Kluyveromyces lactis: one gene and its partners. The main gene of each other region encodes a partner of the protein of the gene in region 2 in a complex. Links are inferred from orthologs where the notes say so. Each region holds a gene or a part of one and is shown on either strand. Other genes may lie near its edges.

Region 1 (5,021 bases), about 350 kb from region 2:
TAATCCCTGAGAAGTGATCTTGTTTTCTACAGCGGTTTGTAGCATCAATGCTTGTTTGTTTTCAGGTTCATGATGCACTAGTGCATCCACGTACCGCTTTGCAGTAGAGTATTCGCCGAGTTTGTAACATCCGATGGTCAAATAGTATAAGCACTCTCTTCTTCTCATTGGAGATTCTTTGTATATGTCCGTCAATAACTTAACACCCAACATCTGATCTTCCTTATTCGTCGATCTGACGAGACCCCAGGCGTAATTGAAGCGTGATTGAATAGATGATATTTCGCCCCCTTCATTGAGCACCTGTTGCCTTAAAATTTCGATTTGATCGCTGTTTAATGCAGAATATGAATCCTCCAATTCAGGAAGGTAGTGGATGTTAGTCATACCGCAGTATTTTTTTGAGCTTGTGCGAGTGATTTCAAGATAAAGAAATAACTGCTACCTTCGATCGTTTCAGATGTTGTTAATGATATTGTTTCAAATTCAATGTCAAATTATCAGTTTTAACTTTTCAATTTATTTTTCTTACGTCCGCTAGACATCTCGAAAACGTTTTGATTATATACAAATATATACAGAAAGTCATCTCTGAGAATTGGTACAGAGGCATCGCAATAAGATCAGCAATTGAAGTTCCGTTCCAAATATCAACACTGATAATTGCGGTAATTTATCCGTTGGTTCATTTTTGTCCAGAAAACTTACACTAGAAACATGGAAGATACAACAAAATTGAATACTTCTAAGTTGGGAACTAAGGAATACTGGGACGATTTCTACTCATTAGAGAAACAAAACTTCGAGGAGAACCCTGAGGATACTGGAGAATGCTGGTTCGCTGATAACGATGCAGAGGAGAAAATGGTCGAATTTCTACTAGATAACTTGGGCGAATACAATATCAAAGAAGACAGCTCAATGATTGATCTCGGAACTGGAAATGGTCATCTTTTGTTCACTCTATTGGAGGAAGGTTTCAAAGGTGAAATGATCGGTGTAGATTACTCTGAAAAATCAGTCGAGTTTGCTGCTGAGATTCTCAAGACTAAATACAGCCAAAATGATAACGTAACTTTTGCTACGGCAGATATATTCAATGAACAATGGGCCCCAGGTAAATTCGATGTCGTTCTAGATAAAGGTACACTAGATGCCATCGCATTAAGCGGTATAAAATTTGAAAACAATGAAACCGTGGTAGATGTCTATCCGAAAGTGATAGAGAAGATATTAGGCGAAAACAGTATTCTGTTGATTACATCATGCAATTTTACAGAAGAGGAACTCATAAAGATTATTGAAACAGAGACGTTGAAAAAATGGAAATCGGTAAACTATCCAATATTTGAGTTCGGTGGTGTCAAAGGAACTACAATATGCAGCGTTGCCTTTCTCAAATCTTCTGCTAAATAATCTTAATTAAGGTATTATTCAAAAGGTTTTAAGTAGTGTCAATTTTACAAAGTCTGTTTGAATCAGAAGTAATATGTCCAATTCAATTCTCCAGGATATGAGCATTTACTTTCTCATATAACTCATCTGCTATTTCAGCTTTTCCTGTCCTTAAGGCATACTGGACAGGATTCTTGTTCTCATCAACTGCTAATATTCTGACGAACTTTTCTCCGTTCAGAGAACCTGGGAACCCTTTTTTAATAGAAAATCCTTTTACAAGCGGTAGATTCAATATTACTTTCAATAACCCACGGGATCTCATTACTATTCTCGACTTTTCTGAAACTTCATCTTTATTTAAATGTAGAACACCAATTCCTCTTTCCTTCCAACCATCCTTTATATCGGTAAGCTGATACAGCTTGGCATTTGTTTGGAAGATCGATTCTTCTGTCTCTTCGCCCGATTTGACGTCTTGTTTCGTTAATTTTACTGTTGGCTCTCTTGATTGGGCTGGAGTACTTTCCTTTTTTTCTGATTCGACTGTTTGCTTGTCTTTTGCAACACTATCTTTGGAGGCTACTTTTGCAGCTTTGAATCCAGCACCAAATGATAGACCAGATCCGAACGAGAAACCTGGTTCAACCTTGACGGTGTCCTTATTTCCATCTTTCTCAGTGGTTTTAGCCGCAGGTAAACCAGCAGAAAAAGCATTGGCTGCTCCAAATGGTTTAGTTGCCACTCCAAAGCCAGAAACAAAACTTGAAGATTGGCCAAATGTGAACGATGGTTTTTCCACGTCTTTTTCTGGTTTAGGTTCTGTTTTCTTCCCTTCTATCTCTGCCTTGGCGCCCTCATCTTTTTCCTTGGCCTCTTCTTCTTTTTTATTATTTGTATCTTCTTCTTTTGTTACCGCTGTTTCCGTTGTCTCAGCAGTTTCAATATTTTTAGGTCTCTCTACGGAATTGGCCTCTTCATTTGCTGTATCATTCTCTGTTATGAACTTATCAGTCTCTTCTGAAGGTTTTGCTTCATCTTTATCATTGAGTTTGACCTTCTTCACAGGAGTTTCTGTGCTTTCTAATTCCGAATTCACCTCAGGAAGCGCACGTTTATTGCTATCGTTTAAAGTTTCTGGCATTGTGAAAAGCAGGAACAATATACTGGAGCCTTCTTGACAATATTATAACCCTTTCTTGGCATATGTCTGTGCTTTCAATAAGAACTGAATGTTTAAAACTAGTACTTTCTCTTTTTTTTTTTTTTGGAAATACTAACTCTGAGAGGTCCCAGTAATACTTAATAAAGGGCCTGCACTCCATGTGAACAAAGGCCAAACAAACAAAGATCCGTAATGATCGCCCATTGGTAGGTGAAACTGGATCATATACGTTAGAGTAAATATATCATACTAAATTAAGTAAAATCGTACTGTTATATAGTTCTTTATACAGTTCTTCTATCCGAGAGATAGTGAACGATTGGATTGACACCCGCAACTTGCGTTAACTTTTCGAACCATGCGAGAAGGATACCCCCATGCTTTTGACCCTCAGGTATAGACATACCCTTGTATAGGTATTTTATCAATGCGTCTTGTTGCTTGCGATCCAAGCGCTTAACTATATTAGCAATATCCACTTGTCTCACTTGGGTTAGCACCTCCAATATACCAGAGAAATATTGTGATTTCGCTTGTTCGTCGGCGTTGTATGGAGGATCAGTTGTGAATAGCTCAACAGCAGCTGCAAAATCACCAGATGATGTGTAAGAACGTAACTGTTGAATGGTTGGCTGTAACTCTTGTAAACTCACGGTATGTGAATATGGTGGTTTCAAATCATCCGCCGTTAATCTCCCACTTTCAGGATCGTAAGCATCGATATCAATTCTTCTCCAGTCTTCCATATTACTAGTTCAGAAGGCAGCTGCTTGGATGAATACGATAAGGATAATTCAGCGCTAATGCTTCCTGATAAAAGAAGTAGACCGGCCTGCAGTTATTTCGAGTATTTTAACCTAATCCATTTAAAGGTTTCCATTCAATATGAATCCCATTCAATAGTAACTTATAGGAGATATCCGGGTAATAAATCTGGAAACAGGGTAACTATGGTTTACAGCACTGGACCGATTGACTGTTTATCACTGACAGGAAGAACGATAAGCAGATGATAACATTATCTTCTTATACATATATATTAACTAAGTTCAAATTGATATAGATATACGGGTTATTCTTTGGTGGTTCCGTTTATTGAATAATCTTATTGTCTGGAATACCGTCGTATTCACCGTAACTCAAGGCCAGGTTGATGTTCTGTAAGCATTGAGTGGCAGCACCCTTCAATAAGTTGTCAATAGTAGCACAGACTACGACACGGTCTTTTGCATCATTTACCTTGAAACCACCAACAACTACTCCGTGAGTACCAGAAACGTCCTTAACTAACGGAATATCATCGGCAACATGTACCAACTTTTCGTTAGCGTAGAATTCGGTGTACAAGGCCTTAATTTGTTCTGAAGATAGTGAGTTCTTCTTAATAGGAATAGAAATAGTATGAGAAATACCTTGGAACCATTGGGCAACATGAGGAACAAATGCGACTTCCAAACCCAAACGAGTTGAAATTTCACGCTCATGGATATGGTTTGTTAAGGAGTAAGGAATTAGATTGTTGTTCAAGAATTTTGGATCATTCTTTGGAGATGGTGTAGTACCAGCACCAGAATAACCAGAAACACCAAAGACTGTGGGTAATCCTGTGATGTATTCCGATAGAGGAGCAATCGCTACTTGGGCACCGGTGGCGTAACAACCGGGGTTAGCAATCTTTTTAGCATTGGCAATTGCTTCTCTGTTGTTTAACTCTGGTAATCCGTAGCTCCATTCCGTCTCCGGGACAAATCTATGATCAGCGGATAGATCGACAATTTTGGATTTACCGTTGGCAACCGACTCAATGGCCTCAACGAATGGTTCGCACACTTTGTTTGGCAACGCCATGACCCACACATCGACAGCACCTTCACTTTCTAGTTTCTTTATGTCATCAATTTGTAGATTCGAATAAATAATCTCAGACTTGTTATATCCTTCCAACTTCTTACCAGCGTTTTGACGAGAGGAGACGTGAGATAATTCCAAAAATGGATGTGAGTCTATCAATGAAATAAGATTTTGACCTGTGTAACCTCTGGCACCAATCAAAGCAACTTTAGCAGGGCTCTTGTTAGTGCCTTCTACTTTAGGAGCAGATCTGGCCCTAGTGGAGTAAGATCTGGATGATTGACCACTGGAAAATACACCACTGGAGGAACCAGAGAAGGATGGAGCGGTACCGCTTTCAGGGGAGGTCTTAATGAACTCGGATATTAATTCGGATACAGTGTTCAAATCTTTGACACCATACCAGAATAGAACCTTACCGTTCTTCAAATAGGAACCATCAGATTTGTTGAAATGCCAAGCGATGTTCGCATCATCTTCATTGATCACCCATTGTAGGGCAGGGAAGTCACGTTTCAAAGCTTTGAAAACGTTATCGGTGACGTTATTCAACCAGCCGGTCTGGGAACATAGGAATTTATCTAGTTTTGCCACCACAGAATCTTTCTTG
Region 2 (6,805 bases):
AAGATAATGATATTTCGAATTCAAATAGCAACCATGACAACAAATATAATAAACTGAACGAGGAGTCACTGATGAAAGACGACACTCACAGTCATACTTCTCAAAAGTTCAAAGTACTGCAACAGAGTATGAAAGAGGAGCTATATAACAGTACAACCAAATCATCAAACAAACGAAATAGAAGGTTTATCACTTCCCGACTGTCCTCACTAGGACCTGCCAAACGTAACCTTTCTACAAGTTTCAATGTGGATTCCCCTAGTGAATCCAGGGTTGATAATAGTCAAATCAACAGTAGCATAATAAATGATACATCTAACATTTCCCAGCAAGATATTGAAAATTCGCATACCTCTAATAGTTCTAATACAGGTTACAGGTACCATGACCATAACATTTTTCTAGAGACTCACAGACAACATTCAACACCCAGCCACGATGAGAACAAGGACCCTTCCGCCAATCTGCAACCTAACATCAACTATGAGAATATAGATTTTGGTGATCTCAACCCATACCAGTACCTAAAGAAGTATAATCTTCCCAGTGGTGAGCTTCCGTACATCTCGAAAGTATATTTTGAAAGGCAAAAGGAAGAGAATAGAAAAACCGTGTTGAGAAAGGCCACCTCTGGAACGCTGGCGTTAAAGAGGGAATTCACTCAATATAGGAGAACTCAAACAGCTCGGCAACCACGGAGAAAACACAACTTTGGCACAGATAAAACGTCGTTACAGGATCCGCTTTCTTCTCCATTGCAGAAAAATCAGCTGGTATTCCAGGAGGTAGATCGTGAACTAGCTAACAAACGCGAAGCGCTGAAACCATTAGATGTCAATAATCCATCTAGCAGTCAAGAAGCTAAGCGACCAAAGTACGAAAATGATCATGTACCCGAGGATTATCGACCTCCTTTTTTCTCCCATAGGAAGGCACCATCGCCACATGATTCGAAACCCTTTAAAAAGGTCGAGATAGTGGAACCTCCGAAATCCACTGTTGAAGTTATTCCTTTGAAGTCCGAGGGTTGCGATGTTTCATCAAAACTGAACAAGGGGGATAATTATCTGAACTATAATGGCTCCTTTGATACAAAGAAGAGAACCTCGTATGCTGTTCCAACGATCACAGTGAACGGTACCGCATATGAAAAGGTGGAACTACTCGGCAAAGGTGGATCGGGTAAAGTTTACAAAGTGAAATCTTCTGATCACAAGGTATACGCGTTGAAACGCGTGTCTTTCGATGAATTTGATGAGTCCAGTATTGATGGCTTCAAAGGGGAAATAGAGCTTCTAAAGAAACTAGAAAACAAGCAGCGAGTTGTTAAGTTAATTGACTATCATATGGGACAAGGTGTCTTATTTCTCCTAATGGAATGTGGTGAACATGATCTATCCCAAGTATTGACTCAGAGATCCAAAATACCATTTGATACGGAATTTGTCAGATATCACTTTCAAGAAATGATAAAATGTGTGAAGGTGGTTCACGATGCTGATATTGTCCATTCTGATTTGAAACCCGCAAATTTTGTTTTCGTCAAGGGAATGTTAAAGATAATTGATTTTGGGATTGCGAATGCGGTTCCCGATCACACTGTAAATATTTATCGAGACAACCAGATCGGAACTCCCAATTATATGGCTCCCGAGACTTTGGTTGCAATGAACTTCACAAGGAATGATGGTGAACAAGCCAAATGGAAAGTGGGTAAACCATCAGATGTTTGGTCCTGTGGATGTATCCTCTACCAAATGGTGTACGGAAAACCGCCTTATGGTACGTTCCAGGGAAACAATAGGTTATATGCGATCATGAATCCTGATGTTAAGATTCCTTATCCTGAAAAAGACTCTTTCGGTACAGTGATACCAAGAACTGTTATTGACACTATAAGATCATGTTTGGAAAGAAATCCCATATCTCGTGTTACAATTGACCAGCTATTAAGTGGTGCATTAATTAATCCTGTCACCGTAACAAAATTCTTCATACATGATTTGATAAAAAATGCAGTAAACTATGGTTGCGATCAAAAACATGTCAATAATGAGCGTGTGGAAGAATTATCTGAAGATGTTTGGAACAAACTAGCTGAATTTAAATTATAGATTAATCTATTGCACTGAGGGCAGTACTGGGATAAAGCACTTCTGACATGCCGTCTTTATGGCTTTTTTTCCTGCATTGAATAAAGAAGCAACATATGAATGCTGTGCTCCCATAAGAAGCCAGCAAATGAACCTATGGGTGCATTAATAAGTTTACCTACGTAATACAAATGTACTATTATATAAGAGTTTTAATCATTCATTTATCTTGGTCCAAACTTTGACATTGCAGCAGGACCTATTTCATGCCATTCTTGCTTCGATAACCACATGTGGTCTTTATCGGCCATAATGTTCGCTAAGACGGCACCACCAATGAACACCATATGCTTTCTTCTTGGTGGGTCCTCAATTCTGACCTTGAATTTATCCAAACGTGTGGGATCATTGCGTAGAACCCTTGTAAACCATAGTTGTTTTAGTTCTTTTTCCAACCTTGAAGGTAAACCTGGGTACATGGATGAACCACCAGACAAGACGATAGCTTTATAAAGTGATGTTCTGATATCCACATCTGCTGCTTGTATTGTGTTGAATAAAAGTTCACCCACACCTGGTTGTTCGACATCAACTAAACTTGGTTGGAATAAACACTCTGGTGCCTCGAATCTTTCCGGTCCAACCTTGATGACTCTCCCATCGGGTAATTCATAAGATTCCACTAGAGTAGTCGTCTCTCTTGCTAATTTTGTGTCCAAGTCTAGATCATAAGATACATAACAAAGCTTTTCTTTAATTTGACGAACAGTTTCGAAATCGGCAGTTCTGTTGAATGCATAACCGCGGCGAGACAAAAGGTCAATTAAGTGTCTGGTTACATCTCTCCCAGCAACGTCTAACCTTCTTGTCAAATGATTCAAAACAACGGATTCATAAACAGGAACAATGTGAGTAACACCATCACCGGAATCAACAACGACACCCGACGACAAACCTTGAGCATATAGAGCTAGAACGGCTTGAATTGCAACGTATGTGCCACCAAAATCATACTTCTCGAACATAACTTCACACATTTGTTCTCTGTTTTTAATGGGGTTCATTGGTGGTTCGGTAAGTAGTACCTTACCGCCGGATGTAGTTGGCAATTTCATCTGCTCAAAGAAAGCATAATCCCATAGTAATTCCATATCTGCCCAGTTTCTGATGATACCATTTTCCATTGGGTACGAAATCTGTAAATATGAACGAACTTCACTTGCTTCATCACCAATCATGATATCTTTCAATGGGGTAGAAGCATGACCTCTTTCTTCAGCTCTAAGAATCGGTCTACCTACGATGGATGGGAAGGTGTAATCTGGGAAGTTCTCACCAGCACGGCCAATTTTCACGAAACCAGTACCCTGATCAAGAACAATTGGAGTATGTGGGTCCATTTTCGCTTTATTAATGGGTTGAAGATGCTCACAAATGTCCGTTTGATTTAATTACCCCAGTTCCACTATTAAATCTGATGAAATAAACCTTTATTTCCTCTCTTTCTTTAAGAACATCTCCTATTTCCCAATGTTGTTGATGTCGTTTTTCACGTAAATCATGTGATCATGTTTGTCCATATAGAATTTATCCAGGAGGTATAAAGCTATTGGCACGTCACAAGATAGCCGCTAAATCGTTGGATTTACATGTAAAGCATGTTTTCATATGGTTCAAATGAATCTTATAGTTTGCTTGGATATGTGTTATATGATCTTTTTTATTTCATTGATGAATATGTATAAATTGTGACGGTTTGTGTCAACTTAAATAGATTTTGTGAAGTGATGATTCTTAATAATGTCATGTCAGTACCTAGGTGAGGGCGTTAGTTCTTTTAATCACTTTCGTACGTGTATTCTTTACTGCCGTCCTTTTTTCGTTTTACACTATATTGTGCATTTGCTCCAGTTTCTCCGACGTCTGTAATGAAGCAACATTTCGAAAATGGGCTGAGAGCACGTACATAGATGACCATCGGGGATAACTTAGAATCATCAATGTAGTCACCAGTGAACATCAACAATTCGTCCCCTGGGTTTGCCTTTGTAACGATGTAAACCAATGCAACTGGTTTACGGACTCCCTCAGAACCCATGTTCAATAGCATAAATGAAAAAGCTTGGATGTTTTCGTTATTTCTGACGCTGGAAACAAAAGAGTACGAGTTTGTTACTAACTCCATGTGTCCTGGAACATAAGCTGTATCACTTCCTAAAACTATGGATTTGATGTTGTGTTCGTTTTTATAGAAACTCTCATCTAATCTCGATTTCACAAAGGAAAGAAATCTGTCTGCGTTGGGAAATTCTCCCGATTGAAACTTATCTGTAAATGCTTGAGAGAGCTTGAAGGGGAATCCGCTGAAGTCCTTTAGCTGGGTAAATGACTTGAATTTTGGGACCATTTGCTTCATTATCAATTCTCTCCTTGTGGTGGATGAAAGCTTCATCTTAGTTTGATTGAAAGCATGATCCAAAAGCTGCATAAGTTTCCTGGTTCTAAAAGCTTTGAATTGATACCACCCTATTCCAAATATCACCATCGGGAAAAGCAAAGCAAGTAAGAAAGGCAAAACAAATACTATCATTGTTATGAATCCAGCGAACAGTAACGTGGAAAGAATAAAGGAAAAAGGGCTGATTGAAAAGATAAATCTGGGATTGTTAAAGGGACTTTTTCTGAAAGGATCCCGTCCACCAAGTACCATGTTTCTCGGCGTAGAATGGAAATTTCGAAGCGCCATCTTCACAGGAGAGACCAAAATATTCTGGTTATAATGTAAAAGATTCATCCGGGGATTCAAAGCTGCCAGGAGTGGGAACCGTGGCACCAAATTCACAAACTGACCCGTCTTGACACATCCATGACTAGCAGGACTGTATGCTTTTAACTTTGTCAAGGATTGAAATGGTCGCAGCCCAATCTGTGATTTAACGCACAATTGAAATCGATTTAGGGGAAGCATCTCACAGAAGAATATCACAATGTCTGATGTGCGGAATTGTATTTTCTCAGATTTATACCAATAAGCGATTACTTCTGGTAATGCAAAATGTCTTCATAGTCTTGAAATCTATGAAGCTTCTTAATTTACAAAGGAATTTTATAGGAATTTCAAAGGCCAAATTGTCTATATCATCGCAAACCCCATACTAAGATCGCAGGATGACTTATAATCTGCTTTCTGTTCCTTTAAACTTTTGGAATATTATTACTACATTGTTTAAATAGGAAAAACATGAATAATATATACATATCCGGGTAAACTTTTGTAAACCAATTCGTTGCACATTAATATGAAGACACCATTATAGGGACAAGTCATCCCACTCAGTGGACTAATATCTTATCTCGTATGCTCCTGAATGTGAGATATATTTAATCCATTTCACCGGTTGATAATTCAATTGTGGTTCTTGACATTTCAAGTGTCTCACCACAAGTCCGGAATTACTAAACATTACAATTTCGAAGCCCATTGATATTGGCGGTCTTGACCATCTTAACAAATCAGATAGATCGTGGGAAGTAGCAGGGATTGCCACCTTACCGCTCAGAGTATTTTCTGTAGATCCTTTGTATTTGTTGTATTTCCATACCATGCATTTTTCTCCGGCATCGTACTTACATTTTCCTCCAGAGACGTTAAAATCGCATTTAATCGTGGTTGGGGGCACAGGTATTTTAACTGTTACATCTTTGGCAGAGACATTGGATGGGAAAAGTGATCTTAACGTTACCTTGTAATTGAGTGTAGAGTTCTTCACGATTTCTACCTCCGGTATGACGTTGAATGGGATATTAATGTTATCAATGACACGGTATTGCATCAATTGGAATGGCCCGTCAGGAGGAACGAATTGAATAACGTGGTTGGCCTCGTACTTATTAAGTTGGACACATTGATGGAATTTACAATCTTCTAATATTACAGAGCCTGCAGCCGCATTCGGTATAGCTTTCTTATTCTTAATATCGTACTCGGACATCATTTCAACAATGGACAATTCTGACTTTTCGTTTCCATGAATCGAATATGTGTCATTCAACCCTAGTTGGCATAGAGGCATACCTGATAGATGTGATACACAATCCACGGATCCATCAACAAATGATTTCACAATTGACCCATCTTTACCTACCAATATTGTGATCTTTTCGTTGATATCCAAATATACCTCATTCTTCTTGTATTTCAACCCACTTGGCCTCCAAGGGCATTCAGATAATGAAGACAAGGCAATTGAACTTGAGGACCGCTTTGAAAGCTTTGGAGCCTTTAGAATGTTAGATCCGGATAAGAAATCATCCAAATCGGGAGATTTGCTAATTGTGTTATTCTCTATTGGTTTTCGTGATACTCTTGGTATTATTTGAGCTAAGTCCGTTGTTTGTGGGATGCCGTTCTCCAACGTCAGTTCTAAAATCTCATACAATAACATAAATTCATCCTTTAACACGTCTTCATCGTTAATTCCGAATGCTTCCATTAATTGGTACAACTTGTGTAGGTATTCCCAGATCATTGAACTATCCACATTCGATCTGGATACTGCTACAAGCCACATAGGCAAGTTGTCGCTACTTTCTCTGATAACATGTTGAAATGTCGTTGAGCCCAATGTCAATATAGGAGACCTCACATGTGGATCATTGATGACTTGGGTTCTAAACACATCTGCCAGTGATCTTTTAACATGGTCTTTGAT
Region 3 (4,941 bases), on a different chromosome or scaffold from region 2:
TGGCAGCCGTTCTACAAACTGGAACCAGTTCAGGAGGTGAATCTGGCGATAATGTTGAAATGATTTTTCTGTGCAAAGTAATTTCCGCAGAAAAGTATGCAAGTGTTAAAGTTGCATTACTGTTATAACTACCTGGTGTGTAGTTACTCATCGATAATTTGTGCGGCAAGGAATGATACCATTCTCTTAACTTTAATTGTAAAGGTTTTGCCAATTTTAAAACATGTTCGATCTTAGTTGTTGTCTTAATAGCACCAATTGTATAAAAGGTATCCATGATTTCTCCCAAAATAATGCTTAAGGACACCATTTGTCTGAACAGTAGTTTTCCACTATTGAAGTCTTCATCAGTTGGTGAAATGTCAAGTATGGAAGAGTTCCCAATGGGACCTAGAGGCCTATGCGACGGTTGTTTATTGCGTTGACTACTGGTTATTATTGGCGATTTATCAGGGAAGTCGTCTTCTGTAAGAAGCTTAACCATCCAGTTCCGACCTAAAATTAGATGCGAATTCCTAGATTCCAGAAGGGCTGTCCATTTATCTTGAGCCCAGACGGCCCATGCTAATCGCCTTCGTAGTCCACGTTCCCAGCGAGGTAATCTCCAGTCTTGACAATCAACACCGAGGCCAAGTTCCTCTGACAAAGCAACAACTTCCGAACATAGTACCCAATTGTTGGGACATTCACTACGACAATGCAAAATTAGTAAACCTGCTTGGACAATGCTTAATTTGGGTCTTTCAAACACCTCGTAGAAAGTTTTTAATGCAATATCATTCAATTGATTCGCAACATCTGGTTTAGGAAAACCAATCAATTGCGGGTGGAAATCCCACCATTGTAAAGCTAGGGAATAAATGGATGCAAGAATTGGCGCCGTGAGTTCACGATAAGATCTTGAGTACTTCTCCAAAAATACTCGTTCGTGTAGAATGGGAAAGTAAGGATGAATCAGTTTAAAGAAAATTTCAACCAATATTTTACCATGAGGATGCACTAGTTTTTCCACTAAATCTATATCACGTTCTTGCTTCAAGTAAAGTTCTTGATTAAAATCGTCTCTTAAGATGAACTGTGCATTGGGAGATACCTTGCGTAGTGCGACATTTTTTGATAATTGCACTTGCTCAATCTTGTCTAGTTTCATGTGATTGATTAGATTAATATCGAAGATGGATGTCGGGCCCACAAAATAGGAAGACCTGGGATATTGAATGGAAGACTGAGCATAATTAATTTGACGTTGTATGCTCTGTTGACCAGAAGTTAGCGGTTGCTGCTGTTGTGGTTGACCTGAGTTCATTCCGTAATTGAACTGATTGAAAGCATAAAGTGACGAGGGGGATGCCTTTTGTGCTGCACCGTTGTTGAACTCTGACGCATTCCTTTGATAGGGATATGGAGGTTGTTCATAACTTGTCTGAGATTTGTACCAATTCTGAATTGCGTCATTGTAGTATTGTATCGGCAGATTGTTAGCGCTATCACTGGTAAGCTCATTATTAGGCGTGTTACTGTTGCTATTATTACCACCGGCGTTGTTAATATTATTGTTGATATTATTGTTATTATTATTACTATTAGGGTTACTGTTATTAATATTTGTGTTACTGTTTTTATTTTGATTATTATTGCTAAACTTAGTACGTTTCAACAATTCATGCACATTTATGTTCTCATCCACTCTATCACGTTTGTTCATCTGTTTTTGTAGCACATCCGCCGCCACTTTCCCACTCGGTAACTCCGAGAATGTACACTTGATCCCCTTCGTATCACATGGAACACAACTGTCGGATTCAGGGGGAACGATACATTTCGTGCGTCTCCTCCTACAATGATCACATGGCTTCTCTGTTAGCGTATTTTGTGTCCTTACAGAAACGTTAGGAGATGGTGCACCATTTGTACCGCTTGATGGGACAAACTGTGGAGAATTCGCTGAGCTGTTAGATCTGTTCAATAATTCTTGATAATGTTGCAATAACATATCCAACGACCCTTTGTCCATCCCTGAAGAACTCTTATCTTGCTGCTGTGGCTGAGACTGTATTTTATCCGGACTACTATTATTACCGTTAGTCAGATTATTCAGAATACTCGTATAATCATCATTGAAATTCAACATGGAGTTATTATGATTTTTAAACCCACCAATATTATCACGTTCTTCATTCTCTTCACGCGCATTATCATTATCATCATCGCCATTATCAACTACAGCATTTAAGTTACCGCCATTACCACTAGTAGTATTGGTACCCGAAACCTTATTCTTCAAGTTAATGTTTCTTGGAGAGCTCGACGCAGACGCCGAACCTGCTTCAACTGAAGTGGTCTCCTTACCAGTTCTAATACTGTTCCCAGCGTCCTCAGGGTTCCCTGTACCAGAATCCACATCTTCAGAAGAATCGGCCTTCCAGAGAGAGTCACCACCATTAACGGATGCTGCGCTTCCACTCATCGCGCTCTTTGATAAACCTGTCGAAACCTTGATATACAAAAGCAAAGAGAATAGTAAAGACAGACTCTATCTCAAACGCTTTACACCACAAAATCCTTCAGTACAAGAGACTTGCACCCTAAAACTACCGAATCTAGTCACTTGAAGCAGCCAAATACGCGTCCAAGGTCCCTAAATCACCGTCCGATGCGTTATCAACAAACAAACGTTTATCTTTTCCTCAGTACGTTTCCATTTATTAACCTTCTTTGTTGGTTTCGAAAAATCTCATATAGCCGGGTAACAAACCAATGGAACTAGGAACGGTTCACGTGATCATAATACTTTGTTTAACTATACATGGACTATACATCTATATATCCACGAGAGTTGGCAATCTAGTAGACGAATTGTTCCAAGTACGCTTCTGCTGCGAATCTAGCTCTGGCGTTCAAGAACAATTTCATTTCAGAGATTTCTTTGTCGACCTCTTCCATGAAGTCGATGATGAATTCGATCAATTTCTCGGTAATCATAGTCTCGGTGTGTTTATTTGTGATCAAGAAAGAGATACTATACCCAGGCACTGGGACACGTCTTAGCACGTAAAAATTCTCTGCTCTTTGTTCGAGGAAACTGGTGAATTTGTGTACCAAAATTTGTTCAATCTCATCTGCTTGTTTCACTTTAATACTCATACGGACGGAGTTGACACTTGGTTCGATTAGAACTTGTTCGTGTTCATTACGTGCGATATGCATAGGTTGTAATAGAAGTTCTGCACTTGTATTGTCCACTTCGACCTCAGGTCTGTTGTGTCTTTCCACTTCTTGAGAGGAGAAGTTTGATAGATTCAAAGCAGCTTGCAATGAGTAACGCACTGCTGTTAAGTATGGACGTAGCGATTGAGACATTTTTCCTTCACTTATTAACTGATGGGTTGGAGAACTGCAGCTTTTACGGTGACAATGGCCAAAAGATGGGGTTGCAAACCTGTCTTTATTCAACGTTATCGGTTGTGATTTGGTTCAAATAGGGTCAAAAGAATTAATTCTGAATGAAATTTCAGCACATTAACTGGACCAATGTAAGAAAGAAGACACGGAAAACTAGAAATTGCTGGGTCAAATGAGGCCATTGGATGCCAAAAACTGTGGAAATGATGGAAGGGAATCATCAGGCTTATTTTGTCCTAAGTTTCAGGTCTGATGGAGGCATTGATCCCACGTTATAGCATTCTTACCACAGCTTAATACAATCAGGGTAACAAGGTTTATGATCTAATATTATGAATTGAAATCTCAATCCAAATGATTTAAACTGTGTTAGCGATGGGATGAGGGGATGAGACGACCATCAGTTATCCAAGTGTCTAGATAGCAATTCTCCAGCCAGAAACATTTTAATTTCAAATGTCCTGGCAAGAGACCAAAGATCCTCAAGGAAGAGTCTATTATTATAATGATACAGGACAGACCACTTGGGAAAAACCAGAAGAGCTATTCACCGAGTTTGAAAGGAAGCTGCTGAAATATGGTTGGAAAACTGCTCTTGCAGAGGATGGTAGGGTTTATTATTACAAGTCAGACACAGGAGAGACTACGTGGAACGTGCCGGTTTTTGAGAACGATGATAACCGTGATGAGAGAAGTATACCAACCAAATCGTCTGGCAAAGCTGGGCAACCGGATACTGCATCGGCAGCTGACACCAACTCTACACAGGTAGAAAGTGGAAAAGATGTAGATGTACAAAAAATCTTGAAAGATAGCGAGAACAAATACAAAAACGAATCAGAACTTTTGGTTGTACGAAAGGCTCCATCAAAGGAAGAAGCCGAGAAGGTGTTTTTGCAAATGTTACAAGATAACGAAGTGGATTCTACATGGTCGTTCAATAGGATTATTCGCGAAATTGGGAACAAAGATCCGCATTATTGGATCATAGATGATGACCCATTGTGGAAACAATCAATGTTTGACAAGTTCTTGTCGAACAGAACAGAATCGGAGTTGATTAAAGAGCATCAACATTTGGAAAAATTCGAACAGGCCTTTATAGAAATGCTTGAGAAATTGCCCAACATTCGTTACTATTCGCGTTGGAAAACTATCAAGAGGCAGATAATGAATGAACCTATTTACAAGCATTCTGTCATTGATGAGAAACAGAAAAAGCGTACGTTCCAAAGGTACATATCTTCATTACAGCATGAACACGAAGCACAGCATACCAAAGTTAGAAACGAGGCATTAAAAGAATTGAATCTGTATTTTGTTAGCATATCCGATGATATTGACCCCAGCAACTTACCATGGAGCAAATTCGCTACAAAATATCTATGGGGATCACCAAGATTCGATTCAAATAAGAACTTCGTATCAATTACAAGGAGTGATGTTTTCAAAATTTACATTACCTTTGTTGAGTCAAAGATGGCTGAACTCAAAACGGAAATGGAAGGTTTGCGTTCTAAGAATTTCAGATCAGATAGA

The links. Proteins that work in one complex are often made in the same cells at the same time.
Region 1: ARP2 (region 2) and ARC15 share a complex: the UniProt entries of both Saccharomyces cerevisiae proteins name them as parts of the arp2/3 complex. The link is inferred for Kluyveromyces lactis from reciprocal best matches to the Saccharomyces cerevisiae genes ARP2 and ARC15.
Region 3: ARP2 (region 2) and ARC19 share a complex: the UniProt entries of both Saccharomyces cerevisiae proteins name them as parts of the arp2/3 complex. The link is inferred for Kluyveromyces lactis from reciprocal best matches to the Saccharomyces cerevisiae genes ARP2 and ARC19.

Annotation. Positions count from the first base shown.
Region 1 is NC_006039.1:697,369-702,389, forward strand, and holds ARC15 (Arc15p), read right to left. Parts: upstream 3,307-5,021; coding exon 2,845-3,306; downstream 1-2,844. Other genes in the region: FIS1 (Fis1p), read right to left, coding at 1-387; EFM4 (Efm4p), read left to right, coding at 718-1,416; YRB2 (Yrb2p), read right to left, coding at 1,499-2,539; ARG56 (bifunctional acetylglutamate kinase/N-acetyl-gamma-glutamyl-phosphate reductase), read right to left, coding at 3,653-5,021. UniProt on the Saccharomyces cerevisiae protein: Functions as a component of the Arp2/3 complex which is involved in regulation of actin polymerization and together with an activating nucleation-promoting factor (NPF) mediates the formation of branched actin networks.
Region 2 is NC_006039.1:349,455-356,259, forward strand, and holds ARP2 (actin-related protein 2), read right to left. Parts: upstream 3,494-6,805; coding exon 2,318-3,493; downstream 1-2,317. Other genes in the region: serine/threonine/tyrosine protein kinase MPS1, read left to right, coding at 1-2,114; MRX9 (Mrx9p), read right to left, coding at 3,931-5,061; APM4 (Apm4p), read right to left, coding at 5,435-6,805. UniProt on the Saccharomyces cerevisiae protein: Functions as ATP-binding component of the Arp2/3 complex which is involved in regulation of actin polymerization and together with an activating nucleation-promoting factor (NPF) mediates the formation of branched actin networks.
Region 3 is NC_006041.1:1,623,235-1,628,175, forward strand, and holds ARC19 (Arc19p), read right to left. Parts: upstream 3,361-4,941; coding exon 2,845-3,360; downstream 1-2,844. Other genes in the region: DAL81 (Dal81p), read right to left, coding at 1-2,467; snoRNA-splicing protein PRP40, read left to right, coding at 3,859-4,941. UniProt on the Saccharomyces cerevisiae protein: Functions as actin-binding component of the Arp2/3 complex which is involved in regulation of actin polymerization and together with an activating nucleation-promoting factor (NPF) mediates the formation of branched actin networks.